Oryctolagus cuniculus: one gene and its partners. The protein of the gene in region 5 interacts with the protein of the main gene of each other region in a pairwise test. Links are inferred from orthologs where the notes say so. Each region holds a gene or a part of one and is shown on either strand. Other genes may lie near its edges. The genes, in order: TSGA10, NTAQ1, HSP90B1, NMB, BIRC2 and PPM1K.

What was found.
Region 1: the proteins of BIRC2 (region 5) and TSGA10 interact in binary tests that used the Homo sapiens proteins (3 or more experiments, as listed by UniProt). The two-hybrid records come from large-scale screens. The link is inferred for Oryctolagus cuniculus from reciprocal best matches to the Homo sapiens genes BIRC2 and TSGA10.
Region 2: the proteins of BIRC2 (region 5) and NTAQ1 interact in binary tests that used the Homo sapiens proteins (3 or more experiments, as listed by UniProt). The two-hybrid records come from large-scale screens. The link is inferred for Oryctolagus cuniculus from reciprocal best matches to the Homo sapiens genes BIRC2 and NTAQ1.
Region 3: the proteins of BIRC2 (region 5) and HSP90B1 come close enough for resonance energy transfer, tested with the Homo sapiens proteins (2 studies listed by BioGRID). The link is inferred for Oryctolagus cuniculus from reciprocal best matches to the Homo sapiens genes BIRC2 and HSP90B1.
Region 4: the proteins of BIRC2 (region 5) and NMB interact in binary tests that used the Homo sapiens proteins (3 or more experiments, as listed by UniProt). The two-hybrid records come from large-scale screens. The link is inferred for Oryctolagus cuniculus from reciprocal best matches to the Homo sapiens genes BIRC2 and NMB.
Region 6: the proteins of BIRC2 (region 5) and PPM1K interact in binary tests that used the Homo sapiens proteins (3 or more experiments, as listed by UniProt). The two-hybrid records come from large-scale screens. The link is inferred for Oryctolagus cuniculus from reciprocal best matches to the Homo sapiens genes BIRC2 and PPM1K.

What each region holds. Positions count from the first base shown.
Region 1 is NC_091433.1:109,420,699-109,424,198, reverse strand, and holds part of TSGA10 (testis-specific gene 10 protein), read right to left. Parts: intron 1,580-3,500; coding exon 1,377-1,579; intron 1-1,376. UniProt on the Homo sapiens protein: Plays a role in spermatogenesis. When overexpressed, prevents nuclear localization of HIF1A.
Region 2 is NC_091437.1:149,142,023-149,145,522, reverse strand, and holds part of NTAQ1 (protein N-terminal glutamine amidohydrolase), read right to left. Parts: intron 990-3,500; coding exon 890-989; intron 1-889. UniProt on the Homo sapiens protein: Mediates the side-chain deamidation of N-terminal glutamine residues to glutamate, an important step in N-end rule pathway of protein degradation.
Region 3 is NC_091442.1:106,766,848-106,770,944, reverse strand, and holds the start of HSP90B1 (endoplasmin), read right to left. Parts: upstream 2,801-4,097; 5' UTR 1,961-2,800; coding exon 1,912-1,960; intron 1,256-1,911; coding exon 1,153-1,255; intron 630-1,152; coding exon 488-629; intron 37-487; coding exon 1-36.
Region 4 is NC_091443.1:100,947,895-100,952,165, forward strand, and holds NMB (neuromedin-B), read right to left. Parts: upstream 2,801-4,271; 5' UTR 2,730-2,800; coding exon 2,573-2,729; intron 2,063-2,572; coding exon 1,890-2,062; intron 374-1,889; coding exon 338-373; 3' UTR 128-337; downstream 1-127. UniProt on the Homo sapiens protein: Stimulates smooth muscle contraction. Induces sighing by acting directly on the pre-Botzinger complex, a cluster of several thousand neurons in the ventrolateral medulla responsible for inspiration during respiratory activity.
Region 5 is NC_091432.1:94,082,147-94,085,646, reverse strand, and holds part of BIRC2 (baculoviral IAP repeat-containing protein 2), read right to left. Parts: intron 3,459-3,500; coding exon 3,380-3,458; intron 2,720-3,379; coding exon 2,671-2,719; intron 1-2,670. UniProt on the Homo sapiens protein: Multi-functional protein which regulates not only caspases and apoptosis, but also modulates inflammatory signaling and immunity, mitogenic kinase signaling, and cell proliferation, as well as cell invasion and metastasis.
Region 6 is NC_091439.1:77,349,559-77,353,798, reverse strand, and holds the start of PPM1K (protein phosphatase Mn(2+)-dependent 1K), read right to left. Parts: upstream 2,801-4,240; 5' UTR 2,407-2,800; exon of another isoform or gene 2,113-2,406; intron 1,920-2,112; exon of another isoform or gene 1,319-1,919; intron 1,140-1,318; exon of another isoform or gene 1,001-1,139; intron 411-1,000; exon of another isoform or gene 304-410; intron 1-303. UniProt on the Homo sapiens protein: Serine/threonine-protein phosphatase component of macronutrients metabolism.

The DNA of each region.
Region 1 (3,500 bases), on a different chromosome or scaffold from region 5:
GAAGGATTAGCCTAGTGAGCCGCGGCACTGGCCAGAATGAAATTTATATACATACAGTTAGAAACAAAAACTCTTCAACTTAACAGGATCTTCCTTAAGGGTAAACGAGGCCTCAAAACCCTGTAATAAGGTACAACTTCATAAGGAGACTGATGAGAGATGAAGGCTGCTGGCACAGAACATTCTGCCCTCTGGGCCTGCTATCAGGACAGCAGCACAGACTGCTGAAATGTTAACTCAGGGACTGAGAGCACAAGTTCATCATGCTAACCATCTCTTAGTGATAGTACTCATCAGCCAGGTACAGAGTGTCCCTCCTGGCGCGGGAGTTTTGGCATCCTTCACAAAAGTGGATTTCTACCTACCAGCTTGAGAAAGTGATCCTGCAGAACCAGCTGAAAGAACCACAACAGCCCAGCTCCAGGAACCAAAAGGAGTGGCTCAGTCATGGCTACCATGACCTGAAAGCAGTTTCAGAAGGAAACTGGTCCTGAGTCTGCAGCCTTAGGGGCTTCTAGGAGTGACTGGTGTCTGAGGTCACAATCTCTGTCCTTTGCAAGGTCTCAGGCATGGACGTGAGGGCAGAGCAAAAAAGTATTATGGATGGGACAAATAAGGACAGAAGCTAAGAGTCTGCCTCAGTTTTTTTTCTTTTTAAAAAATTTTATTTAATACAAGTTTCATGTATTTCCTATGTACAGATTTAGGAACACATAGATGATTCCCACCCTCTCCTCCCTCCCGCCAACGCTCCAACCCTTCTTTCTCCTCCCTCTCCCATTCCCATTCTTTATTTGTACAAAGACCTATTTTCAGTTTCTGTGAGGTGACCAAGTTTAATCATAAAATGTTTATAATCAAATAGGTATTTCCACCCATTCCTCAGCCAGGGGTCTTCTAATAAAGTACTAGTGAAGCTAGGGGTTACAAACACAACCCCAAATCATGTTCTGGGGAAGTGAGTGTAGTTCTTCCAATAGCCTCGGGAACATAAAGAAATACTAGGTGAAAAATGGAAAGACTAGATAGCAATGGCAGAAGGGTCCAGACATGTAAAACTCTGCTGGTTTCAGAGTGCTTAATTGCTTTTCTAATCTGATTATATTTTTAAAGGCAGTATTTTAGATCTGACATTCTATGATATCCAAAACTCTGATGGAAACAATGAATAGAGACTGCTAAACTCAAATTTATATAAAACAAAATAAAAATGAATACTAAGTCTTAGGCAAATCATAGTATTTCTGAACCCAGGTTAATTAATGGCAAATCATGGGAATGAAATTCTCTACATTGTAGCTTTAAAATTGTAATCGATAAATGCACCAGAAAATTAAAAACACGACTTTCTGTTATTATATTGCTAAACAACTCACATTTTATTTTCTGCCAAACAAAGGTGTTCCTTAAGAAGCTGAATTTCAGATTCTTTTTCTTGTAGTGCTATCTGAGACTGATACTCTTTGTCTCGGTTGGCCACCAGCAAAGCTTCTAGATTCTGCATGGAGATCCTCTCATTTGTCATTTGACTCCTGAGGAGTTCTATTTCAGAACGAGCAGAATCTAACTCATTCTCCATCTGTATAACAATATGAAGACATCTACACTTATCCCCATTCATTCATGTAACTGGTATATTATCAGGAATTCATAAAAATTGTTGTATCATGTTATAAACTGATAAATCACTTAATGAAATTTTATCTGCCTTCTTACCAAATACACACACCACACATACATGTATAATATCACTTTCTCCATCTCTCAGCTCCTATCACAAAATTCATTAAGTAAAGGCATATTAACCCCAACTGTAACCAATTTCCATTCCTAGCTTCTATATTTATGTTATGTTTCTACAAGGCTGACAGGCTGACATGGTGATCTCTGTGACTTTGCCCTGAGCTAGGTGAGTTCCAAACACCTATCTGAAGGAATGTACTGCACTCTAAGTTAAGGAATATAAGGAGGAATGGCACATTTGCTCTCTTGTGTAAACCTGTGAAGAGCTTCCTTTCTGAAGGTTATTTTGAGTCTAAATTATACTCTGTAAGCCACATGTTTCTTCAAATGGAGAAAGACCAGTCATTATCATTTGGAAAAAGTTATTCCATACCTCAAAATATATATTATAATAAATTCTACATGCATAAAAAATTTAAATGTGAAAGGCTTAAAATTCCAGTAAAGAAAATGAGTAAAAATGAAATTACAGGAGGTGGGAGTGGATAGGTATATAGTAGAACTAAGATACAACACAAAAATCTTAAAAATTTGATCAAATATTTTAAGTCAATAGAAACATGACCAAAATTTGAAAGAAAATAGCTGTAATAAATAAACACAGTACATAGTTAATATCTTTACTAATATGAAGAATACAGACAAGTTGATGAGAAATATCAACTAATTATACGAAATTTATGATATACAATGAAATGGAAAAAAATGATCCTTACTAGTAATACAAAAAATACAAATTAAAATAAGGTGCTATTTCTTGTACAGAGTTTCTTCTCTAGTAACTACTGACATTTTGGGTTGGTTAATTACTTGGTGTGAGGGACTACCTTACGCATGATAGGATAGTTGGCTATATTCCTGGTTTCTTCCCTCTTGATTCCACTAGGATTCCCTATCCTAGTCAGGACAATCAAAAACGTATCAAGACATTGCTAAGGCTGGCGCCGCGGCTCAATAGGCTAATCCTCCGCCTTGCAGTGCCGGCACACCGGGTTCTAGTCCCGGTTGGGGCACTGGATTCTGTCCCGGTTGGCCCTCTTCCAGGCCAGCTCTCTGCTGTGGCCCGGGAGTGCAGTGGAGGATGGCCCAAGTGCTTGGGCCCTGCACACCATGGGAGACCAGGATAAGTACCTGGCTCCTGGCTTCGGATCAGCGCAGTGCGCCGGCCTTGGAGGCCATTGGAGGGTGAACCAACAGCAAAAAGGAAGACCTTTCTCGATGTCTCTCTCTCTCTCTCACTGTCCACTCTGCCTGTAAAAAATAAATAAATAAATATCTACTGGGAAGCAAAAATACTCCATGGTTGAACCGGTGACACTTTTCTAATCTATCAAACTGGCAAATATTTTTAGCTTGTGTTGGACGAACACTAAGCTGTGCAATGGCGATGCCATATTTTCTAGCAGCAGTACAAAATGGAGCATGACTTTTTTTGGTAACAGTTTCATAATAACTCAATGTTTTTTTTTTAACATATTGAAAGAGCTGTGTAATCATTGTAACTATCTAATGTTAAGAACTTTTTCATCATTCACCCAAAAACCTTAGCACCCATTAGCAGCTACTTTGCCCTACCCTCCCTGGTCCTAGGCAATCCCTAACTTACTTTTTCTCTCTGTGACTTGTCTTATTCTGCAAATTTCAAACAAATGGAATCAAATACTGTTTGTGTGATCTTTCTGTGGCTGGTTTTCCTCATTTAGCATAATGGTTTCAAGAGTCATCAATGTTTTAGCAGATATCAGTGTTTCGCTTTG
Region 2 (3,500 bases), on a different chromosome or scaffold from region 5:
TCTTTGCTCTCAACTTTCTGGGTGGGGCATCTAGAATTTTAATCCCTGATTTTGGTAGATTCTGGGATTTGTAGTTGACTCTTGCACTCTAGAAGACTGTGAAAACCAGAACTAACATTCTGTTGGTTCAGCAATATCTTTAGAGCAGAAGCAGCTTTCGTTCAACATTTACCTCTGTATGTGCATATTATGATAACAGTTTAATAATTACTATATTGCTAGATTTTATATGCTTTGTATAAGATTCTTTCTCCATATTTTATTCAACGGCTTGTAACTTTAAGGAGGATGGCCATTCTGGACAACTTTCCTGCCGTGATACTGAAAATGGAATTCCCACATCAGTGTTTTACCTGCTCTGCCTTTTCATTGTCTAATGTTAATGGTCATGGTTACTCTGGCAACGGGTCTCTGAAATCTCTTTAAATTACAAAGCTGCTTTAGTATTGGGTAATATGTGGAAGTTTATTATGTACTATATCTTCTTATTTGTGATCACATATCCCCAAATGCGGGCTTCACATTCTTTAGAGTCTATATTTAGCATTCTCTCAGTAACACGGTAATTAATGCTTTTTATGGGTTCAGAAGACAGAGTTAAAAAGCATCATGTTTACCAAAAAAAAAAAAAAAATTCTTTGTTAGTAACTAAGAAAGAACTAAGAAAGGGGCCTTTCTTAACCTGTGTAAATACACAATCACATATTTCCTTACATAAAAGGGACTAAACTCTTCTAACTCAACTGTGCCCTATAAGGAAAAAGATCTCATTCAAAAACAAACTTTAAAATGTCACTGTCTTTTATAAAGCACATTTCAGAACAGTACTAAACTCATGCTATATTTAGCTTCTGGTGTGTTTCCTTTCTGCAATCATTCACCAACTTACCATCTTTCTCTCATTAGATATGAAGACAGCGTAACACTCTTCCAAAGGGTACTGGTCATGGTTCTTGATGTGTTCACAGAGCTTCCAAATATTTTCTTCACTGAAACAAAATAATTGTTTGATCAATATAATTAAAAGAGAGCACTCTGTATGCTTTTCAGATTTGAACAAAAGACTGATGATGACATCAAAAAATTAGAAGAGCCCTTACACATCATCTCATCCAACAACTGCCTGACATTTCAATCTCCTCTAAAACATTCCTAAGGGCTGGTGCTGTGGCAAAGTAGGCTAAGCCTCCACCTGCAGCACCGGAATCCCATATGGACACAGGTTTAAGTCTTGGCTGCTCCTCTTCCAATCCAGCTCTCTGCTGTGGCCTGAGAAGGCAGTAGAAGATGGCCCAAGTCCTTGGGCCCCCAAAACGCATGGAAGACCTGGAAGAAGTTCCTGTTCCTGGCTTTGGATTGGCCCAACTCCGGCTGTTGCAGCCATCTGGGAGTGTACCAGAAGACAGAAGACCTTTCTCTCTGCCTATAACTCTACCTCTCAAGTAAATAAATAAAATCTAAAAAAGAAATAAATAAATAAATCACGCTGTCCTTTTAAAAATGAAGTGTATTTTGAGGTCTAATTAGAAATATGTTTGGAAAATTAAAAAAAAATTTCCTAACAAGTTGTTATCTACACTGCGTGTGGACACTTTTTCCAGAGCTCACTGCCTCCCACAACAGTGTCTGCATATTTTAAAATGGATAAAATGCTTTAATATCCTATAAGCTTTAGATCTGAATACTTGAAACACAGCTGTTGGCCGGCGCCGCAGCTCACTAGGCTAATCCTCCACCTTGCGGTGCCGGCACACCGGGTTCTAGTCCCGGTTGGGGCACCGGATTCTGTCCCGGTTGCCCCTCTTCCAGGCCAGCTCTCTGCTGTGGCCAGGGAGTGCAGTGGAGGATGGCCCAAGTCCTTGGGCCCTGCACCCGCATGGGAGACCAGGATAAGTACCTGGCTCCTGCCATCGGATCGGCGCGGTGCGCTGGTTGCAGCGCGCTGGCCGCGGCGGCCATTGGAGGGTGAACCAACGGCAAAGGAAGACCTTTCTCTCTGTCTCTCTCTCTCACTGTCATCACCTGCCTGTCAAGGAAAAAAAAAAACAAAAAAAAAACCACACAGCTGGAAATCCAATTCAGCCACTTACAAGGTAAGAGGCTGTGAACATCTCAACTCCTCTGAGAATCTACCTAACTGTAAAGTGGACATAATCACATCATATTGTAAACATGCAATGAATGTGAGTTACCCCTGGTTCTTTGCTCCCTTTAGGAAAGGGGCAGGAGGGCTCCTAGCTGGAAAGGCTCAGGAGACGTTATGTGGTTTGTCCAGGGATTCTGGAGAAAGCCCCTGTGCGTGGGATTCCCCAATCCCCTAAAGTAAGGAGGAGGCCTTAACTTTTAGAAAGCTTTCTCTCCTTCCGAGCCAGCTCCCTGCCAGTGTTTCTGGGAAAGAAGTATAGGATGGCCCAATTGTTTCTGCCCCTGCACCCACGTGGGAGACACAGAGGGGACCTTAGGCTCCTGGCTTCGGCCTGGCCCAGCCCAGGCCATTATGGCCATTTGGGGAGTGAACCAGTGGATGGAAGATCTCTCTCTCTCTCTGTCGCTCCCCCTCTTCATGGAGGAACGACACAGGACCCTGCGCTGTTCTTTCGTCTGCTCGGCCCTCCCCGGGTTTGCTGCTGGTTCTTCCCGGGTTGGCTACTATCCCTTCCACCTCCGTGGAAGGGCAGTTCCCCCTGGCCACATTCCCCACTTCCGCAGGGGAGCGGCACACCGCCGGCCGGTTCTCTCGGGGGCTGCACGGGTTCCCTTAGATGTTCCCCATAGATGTTCCTGGTGCGTGCCGTCTCTCTCCTCCTTTATAGTCCTCTCCCGCCAATCCTAACTCGGCTGCCCACACGCCGAGTACGCTGCTCTCCAATCAGGAGCAAGTCCTACAGTTTATTAGTTGAACTGGAGGCAGCTGTGCGGAAGCTGTTTACTTCTCTCCCAGCGCCATATTGTGGGAGAGCAGATGCATAGAATAAGTCTTAATTCGAGTAACTTAGTCTAGTCCGGATTGCTCCCCACAGATCCCCCTTTCTTTTTATTTTTGGCGTTGATACGCGCCTGTCTTCGGTGTCCCGCGGCACACACTCTGCTCTACTTGCTAGAGTTGCCACAGGCTCTTACAAGTCCTATCAGGCAAACCGAATCCGGGTCCTCTCTTCGCCATGTTATGAGGAGGTTTTTAGGCGCTGATGCGTGCCTGTGTTCGGTGCCCCGCAGCGCATGCTCTGCTCTGCCTGCAGGGGCTTACAAGCTCTATCAGGCAAACCGAATCCAAGCCTTCTCATTGCCTTTTTGTGGGGAGGCCTTACTGATGTTAATTCGTGCCTGTCTTCGGTGACCTGCGGCGCATAAGCTGCTAACCGCCGCAGGTGCTCATCGTGCTCATCGCCTCACTTAATCAGGCAGACCGAATCCAAACTTTCTCGTTGCCATGTTGAGGGGAGGCCTTTCTATTTCTCTATTTCTCTATCTCCGGGCATTCCTATTTCTCCCATTTTACT
Region 3 (4,097 bases), on a different chromosome or scaffold from region 5:
ATCTGAAGCATTTGAAATCAGTTCTCTCAGGAAAATCTAAATGGAAGGCAGATTTGATAGTTACATTAGACACATAGGACACTGAATTTAATGTCGACTCTTCCTGTCTCCTCTGTACCTTGAAAAAGCACTCTTTAAGGAAAAAGTCTTCTCAGGGTGGCTCTGCTCACTGGTACAAGGAGGATTAGCTCCTATACACGGGACTGTTACAACTATAAGGATATCTGGACTGGAAGGAGAATTAAACACCACCCTGATTTTCCAGTAGGAAGTCCACGAAGCTTAGCGGACTGTTCAGCAGGCCACGGCCCTGCTTGCAGGGTAGAGGACAAAGGGGAAACGTCTAACAGTCGTCCTGGCTGCACAGGTTGGTATTTCAGTTTCACTGTTCACCTGTGATTACTATTTCTTAAATGTATTTAACTGCGAAAGTAAACAAGTATGCCAATCCACAAAACAAAGTATCACCCTAACCCAGGCTGCTTACCTCTTTATTTTTATACAATGAATTGATGATAAGTTTCATCATCCTGTTAACTTCAGCTTGGAAGGCAAACTTCTCAGATTTCTCTCTAAGTTCTCGTATTTGGGATGCATTGAGTCCATCCAACTGAATGGCTTCTTCCTCTCTAAGGAAATCAGGTAGGCAAATACGGCATGCTTAGTACCTTTAAAAACACAGCCTCTGTGCTGACGGCTCAAGTGGCCCCTGAAGACTGTCCTGAGGGTTAGACGGGTAAACGGAAGCCTTCCAAGACGACCACCAAGTACCAGCTCCTCTGCTCCCAGAGGGTCACGCCGAGATTCTTAAATTGCCCAACTTGACCAAGGAGCAGTCATACCCATACCCACACTGCTCCACGGCAGAGACTCCACTGACAGAAACCCGTCAGAAAACCAGTCAGTGCACGCACTCGGCGAGTGCAAACCCCACTGCAAGTCTTCTCTCAGGCCTTACAAAGCTCAAGGGGCCAGCACTCTGCACGGCAAGTCAGCAAAACAGTTTTCAAAGGAATTCATCCAAAGCTCACGCTAAGGGACTCTTAGATAATGCGTTACACCTCGCTCCTGCTAACACTTTCCTGCCCAATGTGGGAGCATTAGCTTTAATGGGGATCCCTGGAGCCCGCGGCGCTGCCGACCAGCACGGACCTCTGTACGACCTCGTCGTCCGTCCTCGACCCTTCCCTGCTCTTCCCCAGATCCTCTTCCACGGTGCCGTCCACGTCCACCTCGTCGTCGGCCCGGGCCGAGCCTGGGGGACAGCGAACACGGTCACACAGGGCAAGGGCAGGGATTGCGAAACACGCGCGGTGCACGGGGGAGGGGGAGGCGGGCCTTGCGCGGCGCCCCCACGGAGCCCCCGCGACTCGCGTGGCTCAGGGCCCCCGCCACACGTGCTGCGCGCCGCCGCGCGGGGCTCCCAAGCAGACCAAAGCCCAAATCCCGGCCTGCCCCGGCCCGGGTCACAACACGAACCAGATTCGTGCAGCCTCTGGCGAGGGGGCTTGCAATCGGGCCTGGACCCGCTGACCCCGCCGACGTCTAAGAACGGAAGCGCGCGCACGACGGAAGCCCGGAGCGGGGCGGGGGCTCCCCAGGCTGTGGCTGCGGACCGGAGCCCTCCGGGAGGGCAGCCGGGGAAGGCAGAGCCCAAGGGAGGCCCCGCCCGGGGCGGCCCCGACCGCCGGGCGCGGACCCACGCGGGCTGCGGGGGATTTAAACGACTCCGTCCTTTCTTTTCTTCCCAGAGCAGCAAGAGCGCCAACGTAGTCCCCTCGGCCTCTTTCGAGGAAAGGCGATGGCCCCGCTGGCCCGCCGCGGGCCCTGGTACCCCTCCCCAACGCCCCCAGAACCTTCGAGAAGCGGCCGCGCCGGGGGGGGGGGTGTCCGGGCTCCAGGATCACTCACCGAAGGTCAGCAGGACGCAGCAGAGGCCCAGCACCCACAGGGCCCTCATGGCGCGCGGCCGGCGGGTATCAGGTCCCTTTTGATCGCAGGAGCCGCCTCCACCCCTCCACCCCAAGCTCCGAGCCTCACACCTCAGGCCGCGCGGTCCGCCCACTACACCGCAAGCAGGTCAGGCCGCTTTTCACCCCCACTGCCCGCGGGCGGGGGACGGGAAACACGAATCCACCAATCGCACCGCACCACGCACCCCAGGCACCCAATGGGGACTCGCGGGGGGGACCACAGTCCGCCAATAGGAGCTGTCCAGGTGCGGTGCCCGATGCCCGAAGCGTGGCTCCCTCCGATTGGGCATGGGTAACAGCTTTTGTCCAATCACATACCTCCGCGGGCCCCTCGCACGCGGAACCGCCCCTTTGCCTGGGAAGCCTTAGCATCTAGAGGAAATCGTCCAATGAACGTAAGCTCCACACACGTCCGTCCTTTTTTGAGAGGTCGCGGAGGAAACACTTCCGGATCCTAGAGAGCGTGTATTCCGTGACCAGGGGAAACGGTAGCCATGACAACGGGTTCTTCACACTTTGGCGTCTACACCCGGGATCCCGTTGGGACCGAATCCAGCGCGACTTCCAAGTCACCTTTCTATTTGTCAGTGCTTCTCGGAGAAGCAATACGTGAGAGATTGAAACCCCCCTGAAGGCTTTCGGGTGGCTTGTTGGTGGTGAAGAAACTACATTTCCCGGCATGCCACACACCGAGGGTACGCCGTGTTGGATGCTGGGAATCGTAGTTTTTTCCTCGCGGGCTATAGCTGCGCAGTTTGGGTCTCTTCTCCCCCACTCTCCTCGCGTGTCTTTGCGGGAACTCCGTCCTGCACGTTTTCGAATTCACATCTCGTTCTGACCGCAGTAGAGATTCGTGCGTGTTGCAGGACCCCGCAGCGGACGCGCTTTCAGAAGTCGCCGCGCTTCGGCGGAGGCCGCCTCCGGCTCGGGAACGGCGGTTTCCCAATCTGGCTGCGCGTGCGTCACCGGGCACCCCAGTCTTCCTCGCGCCTGCCTGATGTGGTTTAGGGCAGGGGGCGGCGTGGGTTTCCCCCGCTCTCCTGAGGTAAACTTTGGGCGACCCGGGCAGCCCGCGAGCCCTCGCTGCAAGTCGGCGGGAGAGCACGGGGCCGCCCGGGTTTGCATAGAAAAGGAACGCCCCGCCTGCAGGAGCGCACACCTGCCAGTATTTGAAAGCAAAACCTTTCGTGGGTGGGGGAGTGGGGACAAGATAGCAGCTTTGTAACTTCGTAGAAATACCCCGGCCGCCCTCAGGGCGACGTGAAACCCCAGGTGTCTCTCCGCGGAAGTCGCCCACAGGTCTCTGGCGCCTTGGGACCACCTCTCCCGCTGCCCCTAGCCGGGCCCCTCTCCCTCGCTGCTCCCTCCTTGTTTTCGGGAGATCCTCCGCATTCCTTGAAGACCGGCTTCCGCTACTCCCACTCTGAACTCTGGTTGACACCTGCGCCTCGCGGGGCTCCTTATTGCTCCGCTTTTGTTCCTAGTAAGCAAAAGTAGCTTACGAAGCAGGTTTTACGCTTCTGTGCTGGCATTTTTTTTTTAAAGTCTACTAGAGTGTGCATCGCATTCAGAAATCTCAAGGGTATTTCGTTGTGTTTTCACTGATTTTTTGGTCGTAGAAAATGGGTTCTTCCTCTCTTCTGGGCTTCACAGCTCAGCTCCTTCACCTTTCTCTCTACTTCTGAGCAGTCCTGAAACTGCAAAAGCCATGTGACCGGGCAGTTCGCGCTGCACCTGGAGGGAACCGAGAGTGAAATAGAGCCGCTGCGAGTGCCTGGATGTTTGTGCAGATGCTGAGAATTCACGAGGGGGCAGAGCCGCAGGCTGTGGGCTGGCCACGGCGAGACTGCCTGGGCTCTGCCGTGCTCCTAGGGGTGCGCAAGAGCGGCTTCGGGCCCAGCCTCGCCCCCTCGGGCGGTCTTCCCGCCTCTCTGACTCCTAACGGCTACCCATCCCCATTCCTGCCCTGTGCGGCTCCTCCAGAACGGGCCCTCCCCGCCTTTGGAGCTGATCTCTTGATTCTTCCTGTGGTGCATTTCCATGGATACCTTTGTTGTGGTTGCTGCTAAGCTTCCGCGTAAGCACCGCTCAGCCCAGGAGGCAGTGACCTACCTTGTGTTCCGA
Region 4 (4,271 bases), on a different chromosome or scaffold from region 5:
AGGCGTAGCTTGATTGAGCAGGAGTCAGTGCCAGGCTGGGCCATGGCGCCAAGTGCTCCAGCCCCGTCTGTCTCCCGGCCCCTCTCCCGCCCTCCCTCAAACCTAGCTGGAAGGAGAGGACCACGCATTCTGTGTGAAGAGCAGGGTTTTTATTCACAGCTTCAACAGGGGAGCAACCGATACAGCAGGGATATAACCTCGTGTGCGTCCCGCCAGCTCTGGCGACCCCGTCAGGAATCCCAGCCGTGCAGAGACGGACTGGCGCCCAGCATTTACATCCAGGCGGCACTGCCACCTCCCCCGGGCCGGCACAGTCTAAGGTGAGCTGCTGCTGGCATCACTTCTGCAGTATTTGCACCGGAAGCCTCCTGTACTGAATGAAAACACAGAAGAGTTGATCTGGCAAGGCGGGGTGGGGGCGCGGCGCCGCCCACGAATGGAGCCTCCTGCCACTCCTAAGTGCCAGGCACCTGCAGAGGTGGGCAGGGCAGGACCCCTAGCACGGCTCTCCCTGAAGGGCCCGGGAAGGAGTCACCGGCCGTGGTGTCCTGAGAGTTATAGCCCCAACCTCACAGCACAGTCGCCACACTCTAAGGGGGAATGTGAAGTCAGATCCCAGTGCTTGGCACCACCCAGTGTCAGTGTCCTGACCCTCCCGTCCCCAGCTCCGGCCCAGGCCCCACTGATGTCCCACCTGCTCCCGGCCAGGTGTGCTGCCCCTGAGATTCTCGTGCTGCAAGCCCTGCGGGTGACACGGTTCCCCTTCAGACCCTTAGCCGTCACATCTGAGGAGGGCTGGGGGCCTTCAGTGTTTCAGGAGTCAGGGGTGTTGGCTGGGGCTGAGGTTGAACCTTCCCCAGGGAATGCCATTCCCTCTTTCCATAATGTACACACCCTATGCAAGGCACAGTGAGGATGCGAAGGGGACAGCAGCAGGCACTGCCCGGAGCTCCCAGACGGCTAACAGCCCCCACTTACCCAGGGCTGTCTACATACTAGCATCGCGCTGGGCGCATGACATAAATGGTCTCACTCAGTGAGAGATGGGCCCATTACCCTCTCCACTTACGGATGAGGGGGAGGAGGCTGAGATTTCTGAGGTCACACAGCTACTAAGCAGCTGGGTCAGGAGGGCTCACCTGGCCAGAGCCCACCTTCTGCACACAGCCACGAGCCCGGGGCACCGTAGTGCACAGTGGGACAGCACCAGGAGCAGGGAGCAGAGAAGCTGCTCAACCAGACCAGACACTGTGGCTGGCTTGGCTTTAGTTTGGGACTGAACTGCATAGGTCAGTGGATTATAACCGAGAATGATTAGGGCACCTTCCTCCCTCCCCCCACCCCCGAGGACATCTGGTGACAGGCTGGGGGCCTGTCCGCCTGTCACAATCTGGGGTGGGGGGTTCTGCTAGCATGTGTCGGGTGGTGATCAGCGACGGACACTGCCGTGCACGGCCCAAGCCCTGCCGCTGGCTACAGAAGCAGGCACTCAGGGTCCCAGCTCCAGCCACAGCACATGCAGGGCGCAGTAAGGATGGATGTGGCCAAAAGAGCAGGGGCCGATGGAGTGGGACAAGGCTGTTGGGCCTGGGGGACAGGTCCTGCTGCTAGTGGCTGTCTGCTCCTTGTCTGACCTTGGACTGGGTGATGAGTGGGGGGGCTTGTGCCATGGGGTCTGCAGGGAGGGTCAGCTTCCCTTGGCCAGTGCCCTGCTCTTTGAGCCCTGGGATAGAGGGATAACCCGGCATTCCTTCTTCCCGGCTCTCCACACCCACCTCGCCCTGGCCAGGCCATGATACCCCATGGCAATGACAGCTCCTCCATGCTGGACCAAGGGGCGGGCCCTGGCTGAGCTCTCCTGGTCCTGGCTGGGGTGGGGCCTGGCTCACCTGGGTCTGGGCTGCTGGGCCGCTGAGGCTCAGGCCCAGAGCTTTCTTTAGCAGGAGGATCCGGAGCAGATCATGACTCAGCTGCAGTCTCTGGGCCCTCACGGCGGTGGGGGGAGTGGTCCCCAGTGGGAATGGGCTGGGGGGCTCCAGACTCTTCTTGCCCATGAAGTGACCTGGAAAGGAGGTGTCGAGGCCCAAGGAAGCCAGGGAGTGAGGATTCTACCCCAGCGGGGAAGTTCCCCATCACTCCCATAGTTGGCTCTCGCAGCAGGAAGACACCACCTTCCCCCTCCTCACCAAGACCCACCGAGGTGTCTGGGTGTGGCAAGGCCCAGCACCTCGGCTCTTCCAGAACCAGTGCAGAAGGGGGCCCAGCAACTGGGGAAAACTGTCCGTCCTGCCGCCTGCATGGCCGAGCACAGGGAGGGGAGGGCAGGGAAGGAGATACGCCAGAGCCTGGAGGATGCACAAATCCAAGCCCGAGGGAAGGAGCAGCACTTGGCAGGCAGATCTGGGCCCCAGGCCAGCCCTGCCCCTGCGCGCTCACCTGTGTGCGTGTCAAGTTCCCCTCTACTGAACGGGAGGAGCCCAAGGGGCCCAGCTGCTCCCTGCAGTCCCCAGGACGAGGGGCTGCAGGGGGAATCAGAGCAGGGTGAGGGGCGCCCGCTGCCCCGAAGACTCACCGGTGGCCCAGAGGTTGCCCCGCGGGTGCACTCGGATCTTGGCAGCTCTGCCGCGGGGCTCCGGGAGATCCCAGCTGAGCGGGGCCACGCCGGCAGCGAGCAGGGCGAGCAGCAGGAGGCCGCCCAGCGGCTGAGCGCCCCCCGGCCGCCGGCCCATGGCTGTGCGGCGGCGGCGGCTGGCTCCGGCGCTCCTCGCCTTCCCGGCTTTAAACCCGCGCCTCCGGAGGCGGAGCCTGCCCCCGCGGAGCCCGAGCCCGCCCCGCCGCCGCCGCCGCCGCCGCCACCGCCGCCGCCCGCAGGACCCTTCAGGCGGCGGTCCAGAGTGAACTGCCCGAGCCCACGCCCTCACGCTGAGGTCCCGGCACGCGGAGAGCAGGGGTCGGGAAGCCCAGAGGAACTCCCGGGACCCCGTGGCCGCTCCACCGGCTTTCAGAGCCGCGCCTGGGCGACTCAGGCACTTCAACAGTCCTGGTTAGCATTGCCAGGCACCAGATGAGCTCCATCACCCCTTCCCTCTCGGGGCACTGGACCTGTGTCCCCGGGTGCTTTACCAAGGTTCTGTGCTGGGATGTGGAGTTGGGCAGGAGGCAGAGCAGGTCGGAGTGGAGAGAGCACTGGATCATAAGTCCATATGAAAGGACGTTGGTAATAACTGCACTGCCCTATTTGTAATAATTCTACACTTGGCAGCACACCTATCTTGTGCCAGCCAGCAGCAGCCTCCCAGGAGCTGCCCTCCCCAGCAGCCCTGTGGTCCTCCAAGGCGCTGCCGGCCTTGCCGGGCAAAGAACTGCAGCAGTGCACGGCTTCGGGAGCGGGGGAAGGCGTGGTGCTCCAGGAGAGCGCCGCTGATTTCTGCTAAGTGCTGGCTGAGCACTGTGCTAGGCCCAGGAGGGGGAGACGAAGCTCTCTGTGGGGCACGGTGCACAGAGCGGATGATGGAGAGGCTGTGGCCCAGCCATGGGAGACCCACTGAGAGTGAATGATGCAGAGGCTGTGGCTCAGCCACGGGAGACCCGCTGAGAGCGAAGGATGCAGAGGCTGTGGCCCAGCCACAGGGACCCGTCCCTGGAACGATGCACAGGCGGCTGTGCCAGAACCTGCTCCTGGCTGGCTCAGCAACCGCACCGCTCTTACTACTTTTGCCTGTATGCAGCTCAGATCCGTCCCTGAGAGAGCCGTTTGCCCAAGGAGCTGGGCGTCGGGCTCAGCTTCCAGGAGCGTGTGACACACGGTATGGGGACACTCCATTTCCGGCCTGGCTTTCTGCCCTGTCTTCCTGCTTCTCACCCCCACTCTGGCAGTTGCACCTCTCTGCTTTCTTGTCACAGCTTAGCCATGCTGTACAGATATAGCTCTCCTCACCTTCCCATAATAACCATTCCCTCTGCGACCCCTCCCTTTCCTCTGCATCCCTCTCGCCCCCATCCTGTGGTCTCTGGTCTACAACACACAGGAGCTGGTATTTGGTGAGTGCTGCCTCACTTACATGCTCCAAGCAATCTTTGGTAAGTTTTGCTTTCTCACGTTTAGGTAGAAGCAGGCTCAGAGGGGTTGGCACTCGGCCTGGAATCAGACTTCAGGGCAGGCACCGACTTCCCTAAAGCACACCGCCTCCGCCCCACTGCAACAGCCAGTCAGGTTCAGACCTCCGTGGCGTGGGCGAGTGGGCGCCGCATTTTAGGTTTCACTCCTGCAG
Region 5 (3,500 bases):
TACACTTTTTAAAAATATCAGTTCCCAAGATACATCTTAGACCTACTTATTAACAAACTCTTTAGGGATAAGGCTTAGGAATCTTTAAATTTTTTAAATTCCCCAAATGATTCTGATGGATAATCATTTTTGAAAACCAGCAACATGTACAAACTTAGAATTTATAAATTGTCTCCAGCTAGGAAGACAGGGGAAATAAAAATGACTTCATGGAAAAGGTAACACTGGAGCTTGGATTTGAAGCCTGGACAGGGCCTAGTTGGGTGGATAGCTGAGACAGAGAAAATAAAAATGGGAAGTACAGAAAATGGAAGAGTATTACACCTGTAACATATCTAAATGTGCAGTGAAAACTATGGTTAAACAACCATAGTTTTAGATGGAGACATGTGCTCTCCAAAGTAAAAACTAATTCAAGAAACTCAGAGCCTGGAGGGCATTTTAAATAAGAATGGTCAGGGAAGCATTTTCTGATAACAGCATCAAAGCTAGCCTATATGGCAGTTTTGTGAAAACTGTGGACCTAATTCTTCAAGACACTTTAGTGCCATCTGCTGGAAAGTTGTTATAACAAACATTAATAAAAAACAACATGAGTGCTATGTGCGACACTGCCAAGACATTATGTGGACTCCCTGTCTGAAGAGAACACTCAGTGGGGCCAGAATTGTGGTATAGCGAGTAAAGCTGCAGCCTGTGAGCCAGCATCCATGTGGGTGCTGGTTAGAGTTCCAGCAACTCCACTTCCAATCCAGCTCCCTGCTAATTCACCTGGGAAAAGCAACGGAGGATGACTCAAGTTCATGAGCCCCTCTACCGACTTGTGAGACCTGGAAGAAGCTCTAGGCTCCTAGCTTCAGCCAGTTGCAGCCATCTGAGGAGTGAACCAGCAGATGGAAGATCTGTCTCTTCCTCTTCTTTTTTTTTTTTTTGACAGGCAAAGTTAGACAGTGAGAGAGAGAGACAGAGAGAAAGGTCTTCCTTCTGTTGGTTCACCCCCCAAAATGGTTGCTACGGCCGGCACACTGCGCCGATCTGTAGCCAGGAGCCGGGTGCTTCCTCCAGGTCTCCCATGTGGGTGCAGGGCCCAAGCACCTGGGCCATCCTCCACTGCACTCCCGGGCCACAGCAGAGAGCTGGACTGGAAGAGGAGCAACTGGGACAGAACCCAGAGTACCAGCGCTGCACGCGGAGGATTAGCCTAGTGAGCCACAGTGCCGGCCTCTTCCTCTCTGTAACTCTCAAATAAAAATAAAATCTTTAAAAAAAGAAGAGAGAGGAAGAGAACACCCAGAGATTTAAAACAGTAATAAAGAGTAAGCTGTGGAAATATATGAGACGTCTTGCAGGCAAGAGAATAACAAGTATAAAAGCCATAAAACAAGGGAAAACCTTCACGTGTTCAAGGAAGAGAAGGAAGGTGGTAGAAGGACGGAAGGGAGGACAACGTCCAGATGGAGAGCTTTACAAAGTGTTCATATTTTATTCTAAGTTTGCTAGAATAGTCTAGGAGGCTTTTAACATAGCTCTGATAAAATGTGACTTGTATTTTCAAAAGATAACTCTAGCAGCTCTGTGGAAATGGACTTTAAATCAGGTAAAAGTGGCATCCGGGAAACCTATTACTATGACAAAAGATGATGGCAATCTGAATACGGTGATAGTGGTGATGGTGAGAAATAGTGAGAGGGATGTGTTATGAAGGCAGAAAAAAAAAATTGCTCATATACAGACTAAAGAAAGGAGAGGAATCTGAGATGATGCATCTTTTTTATCTTAGCAAATGAGTATCATTAACTGAAATGGAGAAGCCCAAGGAGAAGCAAACTTGAGGAATAAAGGATTAGGAGAAAATTTTGTTTTGGTCCTATTAACTCAGAATTCTATCATAGCCAAAGACAGAATTAAACAGAGAGCTGGACATTCCAGCCTGGGTCTTGGGAAATGAAGAAATAAATTTGCAATGACCACTGAAGTTTGAAAAAGGAGCAGTGAGCAAAGGAAAATGGGAGAATACCAATTGTCTGGGGGCATCTGAGAAGCTAAAGAAGGAGTCCTAAAAAGGACAAAGAACTCAACTGTATCTGCAGTTTCACAATATGCATTTTCTATGATAGTTTAAGACTTCTGTAAGCAAAGGTTTCCATTTTTCTTTTGCGGTAAAATTATCTCTTAATTACATTTTCCAGAAACTTTGTGAGCCACCCTCAAATGTACATTCTGAACATCAACTAATAGACCAATAGGCTAAAACTAAATTCTAATCAAAAGAGATTATTGAAATACTATATACCTGACCTAAATATCTAATATATAAGCCACTTCTTAAATCATGTGAACCAGGCTTTTTCCAAACCATGCTGGCTCACAGCAACCTTTTCCTCTTTAGGAGGGCTTATTATTTTCAATTCTTATTGACATTGCTTTGAGCTATTTGTTTTTCTTTTGCATCTGTCTTTTCTCCCCTGTTGAGATGTCAGCACTAAACTATATAAACTTTCTAGAATCCCCAAAATACCATTAATCTTTGTATGTACCTAAGGTTTACCAGTTAACTTCCCAGTATTTTTCTCTGTAACTTCAGAATCTCTTTTTTTAAGAATATATTTTCATTCCTCACATTATTATATACATTCCCATTCTACACTAATAATAATATTTCACACTTACTTGGTGGATCAGCATTTTCTTCTCCAGGGGGGTCTGAAGTTGACAACAACTATAAAACAAGAAAAGCTAATAGGTAAAATCAGAAATCTCAATCTGAAAAGAGGAACACTAAGTTTACCCTAAGTAATTGTACATACTCGAAACTGGGTAATTTATACACTTCACTTTGCTTTGTTTTATCCTAACTATAGGACAGGTTTCCTTAAACTTACCCTACTTCCAAACTAGAATTCAGGTATTATCTTCCATTTCAACAAAGTAGGAAAATATATAAATGGTTTCTTACTCCATTTGAATGGGTTACTCTCAAGAGGTCTCAATTGCTAATAAGTTAATTTCTGTAAAAGGATGAAAGATCCTTCTCCAACCCTACCATAAATGTGTACAGTGACAAGATATTTTTTTCAAAAGAATCTTTTTTGAAAGCCCTCACCAAATACATTGGATACAAAAGTAAAAATTAAAGTATTTTGATACAGCAAGTTAAGCCACCATCTGCAATGCTGGCATCTGATATGAGCACCGATTTGAGTCCTGGCTGCCCCATTTCTAATCCAGCTCCCTGCTAATACATGGGAAAGCAGAAAATGGCCCAAGTGGTTGGGCCTCTGCCACCCACACATAAGTTCCTGGTTCTTGGCTTTGGCCTGGCTGTCAAATTATCATACAGTAGAATCCAATATTGTTAACTTTTAAAAAGTATATTTACCTGTTCAAGAAGATGAGGAAATCTAGCTTGAATCTCATCAACAAACTCCTGCCCTTTCATGCGTATCAAGAATTCACACCTAAAACATAAGATGAAAAATATTGTTTCAACTTTTATTTAT
Region 6 (4,240 bases), on a different chromosome or scaffold from region 5:
CTGCCATCCATGTGGAAGACCTGGATGGAGTTCCCGGCTCCTACCTTCAGCCTGGCCCTGTCCCAGTTGTTGCAGCCATTTGGGAAGAATGAACCAGCAAATGGAGGCTCTCTTTCTGTCTGTCTCTCTCTCTCCCCTGTGTATCTGTGTCGCTCTGTGTGTGTGTGTGTGTGTGTGTCTACGGCTCTGCCTCCCAACTAAATAAATCCATCAATATTAGGGGGAAAAAAACCTTTTCTTTTCACCATTTCCATACTGATTTGTGTAACCATGCCTTTCCCATCTTCCTCCTCCTGTGGCTAGGAAACAGTTTGTTTAACCATCCCGACTGACTGACAAGGGGAACCTCAGCAGAGAGGTTTAAATGGGAAGAAACTGCAAGACCATGAAGGCATGCATAGAGATGCTCAGTGAGTACTGGCGACAAACCTCATCTCAGGAGTGGGAAGCCCCAGGTCAAAAGCATTAGGATGGAAAAAAAAATGCATTTGGTTTGCAAAAAACTTTTGAACTATATCCCTCATTTAAAAGTAAAAGGAAGCAGTGAAAAAAGGCAACTACACAGCTACAAATTTGCTTTGCCAATTTTATGTTTTCTTCTTGCTCCCACTTTAGAATTCCTCCATGGTTTAAACACCCTAGGCTGTCCAAATTTATTTTTGGAAACAGGAGGCACTGTGTGTCTGGCAGGAGGGTGCACAGGGATTTGAGGTTTAACCGCACTTCAGCACCGAAAGCCAGGTCAAAAGGGCAGTTCATTGCTGTCATTTTAAGCCCATGCCAAAATTTCCAGGAGTTCTAAGGATTGGCACTATTAAAACCTGCTTAGGTTGTATTCTTCTAGAAAAAAAAATCTTTAAAAAACAATGCCTATCTGCCTATTACTATAAAGTGGTACTATAAAGTGGTAACTTCCACAATTGAAAAATTACCCAAGGTAATTAACTAACCAATTAATATTCTTAAGCTAACTATTTCTTTCTCAACACTCCTTAAAAAGCAACCAGAGCATTCTGAACACTTCAAATAGGATGGAAATCTCCAGAATGTATCTCAGCAAATTTGGACTCTATGCCTTCTTTACCCGTATCCCGCTAGGAGGAAAGGAAAGACATGGTACCAGGCTAGCTGCGGGAGAGAAGTCCATGTTGACATGTGTGAATAGGGCGGACAGCACACAGAGCTGCGGAACCCTTCCTACCTAAAATGCCCTCGCTGCCTTTGCAAACATCTGCCTTCATGAGGTCCCCAAGTCACAGACCACGTTCCCAACCTGGAACCTCAGAACGTTCCTTTCCCTTCTATCCCAACATCCCACCTCATGGGCCCCGGCCCGGCTCTCCTCAGAGTCCCCAGGCACGGGAGGTGCGGCGTGTTCCGCCGGCATCCGCAGAAAAGCGGCTCAGGCTGCAAGAAAGAGGCATCGAGAGAACCCAGCGCCCCGGAGCCATTTCACCACACAATGGGCACCACACTCGGCGACAGACACACAACGCGCGCGCGCCGCTCCTCTTCCGGCCACGGCGGCACCGCGCACCGCTTTCGTTCCCTCAGACGTTGGCCACCGGCCGCTCTCCTTTAATGGCTCACTCTGAAGCCGCCAGAAAGCCTCGCTCTTTCCCCCTGCCCTGGCGGACGAAGAGCGCTGAGCAAAGACCAGGCCGGGCTGCATATTTCCGGCCCGAAGCTCACAAAGCCCGGTGCAGCCCCAGAGAGCCCCCACACTCCCCCATCCTCTTATCTTTAGCCTCGTTTTGGTCACCGCCTGCGAATTCCGGCATCTACAAAAAGCGTCTGCTAAAAAGGCATCACCACAGCCGCAGGGCCTGGGATGACAGCGCCGTCCCGTCCAAACTGCCACCCTGTCCTGCCATCAAACCAAGTAGGGCATCCTTCTCGGCACCGGCCTCCTGGCCTCCGGCCGCGCCCGCCCGGGGCTGGATGGCTCGCCCTGCTGGACGCCTGGCAGCACACACAGCCTCGCGCCCCCGCCCCGCCAACAGCTGCACCCCGGCCTCCCCGCCTCGCTGATCCCGGGGCGTCCCCGTGGCACCGACCCCTGCAGCATCCTCGCCGGCGGGTCGCACAGAGCACGCGTGGCGGCCCCCTCACCTGGCCGGCTCGCGGTCAAGTTCAAGGCCGAGCGCGATCGGGGAAGGAGCCCTTCGCCCGCTTCCCGCAGCGCTGCCAGGGTGTGCCCCACCCTGAAAAAAAAAAAAAAAAAAAACCGCTCTTGACCTGGAAAGGGAAGAAAACAGCTGCCGGAGACCGACCGTAGGGGCTCGGAGGCTGAAGAGGTGAAACCAGGGAGTCGTTCTCCTCTTACTCTTCATCCCCTGGGCCGCCAATAAGTAATATTATAAACGGTGGGCAGAAATAAATGAATGGCACCCTCCGGGCTCTTACCTCCCGATGGCTATGTCCCTTGGAAGTGTTTCAATGAGCTAACGGAGGGCAGTGCAGGGGCTTTCGTGCTCGTTAAATAAGATTGCCGTCTCCTTTGTCTTGCGATCTCCGGAGCAAGCAATCGAAAGCACCACTCACTGCTTCGTCTGCTGGAAATTCTCGAAAATGTTTCACCAGCTGCGGGCCAGAGGGAGCGAAGGGAAGTGTTCCCGCTGACTGACGGCAGCTCCGGCCAATCGCACTTGGCGAGGCGGCGCGTCGGCCCTCCACCTTAGCCAATCACAACTACCGCTGGGAACGAGCCTCCCCGCCGCTGCGATTTGACTGCGCCGACTGGCAGCCGCGCGCGGTAGAGCGACGTCTACGTCGGCCAGTAGCTGCTCGAGGAGGCGCCCCACCCTCCTGAGGTAGGCGCACCGGCCAAAGATGGGGCGCGCCTGGACGGTGGGTGGGGACGAGACGCTTGGTGACCGGCCAGCGGGTGGAGAAGCCGAGTGTGTCGTGAGGGGGCGGTGGTTGTGACAGCTCGGGGACCGAGGCCAGGAATGCCTACGCTTAGCTGGAAGGGCTTGGGGTTTCACTGCCTCTGCCTTGAAAAATTCGCAGCGCAGCGTTCGTCGTGGCCAACAAGCATCTTGAGTTCCCTTTGAGGGGAGGGGGTGAAGGACCTTCGGGATGCCAGGCCCCCGCGAGGCGCCGGCCCTACAGTCCTGCCCCACACACTCATGTTAGCTGCCTCGGTGGCGTCTGCGGTCTGGTTAGGAAGGCAAGGGAGAAACCCGACAAGTACACAAGGGTGGAACATTAGTGAACCGTGTCCAGAAACGACACAGACAAGGCGTGAACATAGCGGATACTGGGGTTGACTCCGGGTGGGTAGGGGATATTTGTGTGAGAACCTTGTAAGATGGCGTGTGGGCTGCGTCTCACAGAGAGAGGAAGTCAGGTAGTCAGGCCGTGGAACGAGCGGAGTGGCGGCCTCTCTGGGCGGTGGGGACAGCCGAGCAAAGGCCCTGAGGTTCTGGAAGCGCAGAAGGAGGTCGGTGTGGCTCCTGCCTAGTGAGGGAGCAGAGGGCAGCAGCAGAGGAGTGAACCGCTTTGGTTAATGTGAGAACAGGGAGGCTGGGCTGGTGGTAGACTGGTTAGGAGAGGACGGCTGGCGAGGTTCAAGGTGAGAAATGACATGGGTTAAAAACCAGACAGATATCACTGGGAGTAGAGAAAAGAGGAGATTAGAGATTTTAAATGTAAAGGGTTTACTTATCTTGGCATTTCAGGGTTCTGGTGCAGGCTGGTGCAGGGAGTCCAGTGCACTTAATACTCTGCTTAGAAGGTGATTCTTCCACCGCTCACAAATTCTGGTAGTGACTTTGAGGATTTCTGTGTCGGATTGACAGTCACTTTTCATGGATGTCCTGGATTTCTTTTTATGCTTTTGCTAAAATATAATACACATATAGAAAAGTACATACATCACAAGTGTATACAACACAAGGAGTGTTCACGGTCTGAATACATCTTTATCCAGAACTCAATCAAGAAACACTTTTTTTTTTTAACTTCTGAAAACTCTAACAGACTACCTTCCGGTTTCTTCCTCCTTCCAAGAGTAGCGTCTATGATGACTTTCAACAACGTAGATTAATTTTACCTCTCTTTCTACTTGGTATAAAACAATTAAGTATGCATTCTTTTATATTTGGCTTCATTATTTTGTGAGATTTTTGCGTACTGTTGTGGACAGTTGTAGGTCATTGAATTCCATTCTGCGAATATACTAGAATTTATAAATTTATTCTTCTGATGGAAATTAAGATGATTTCCAGTTTGGAGC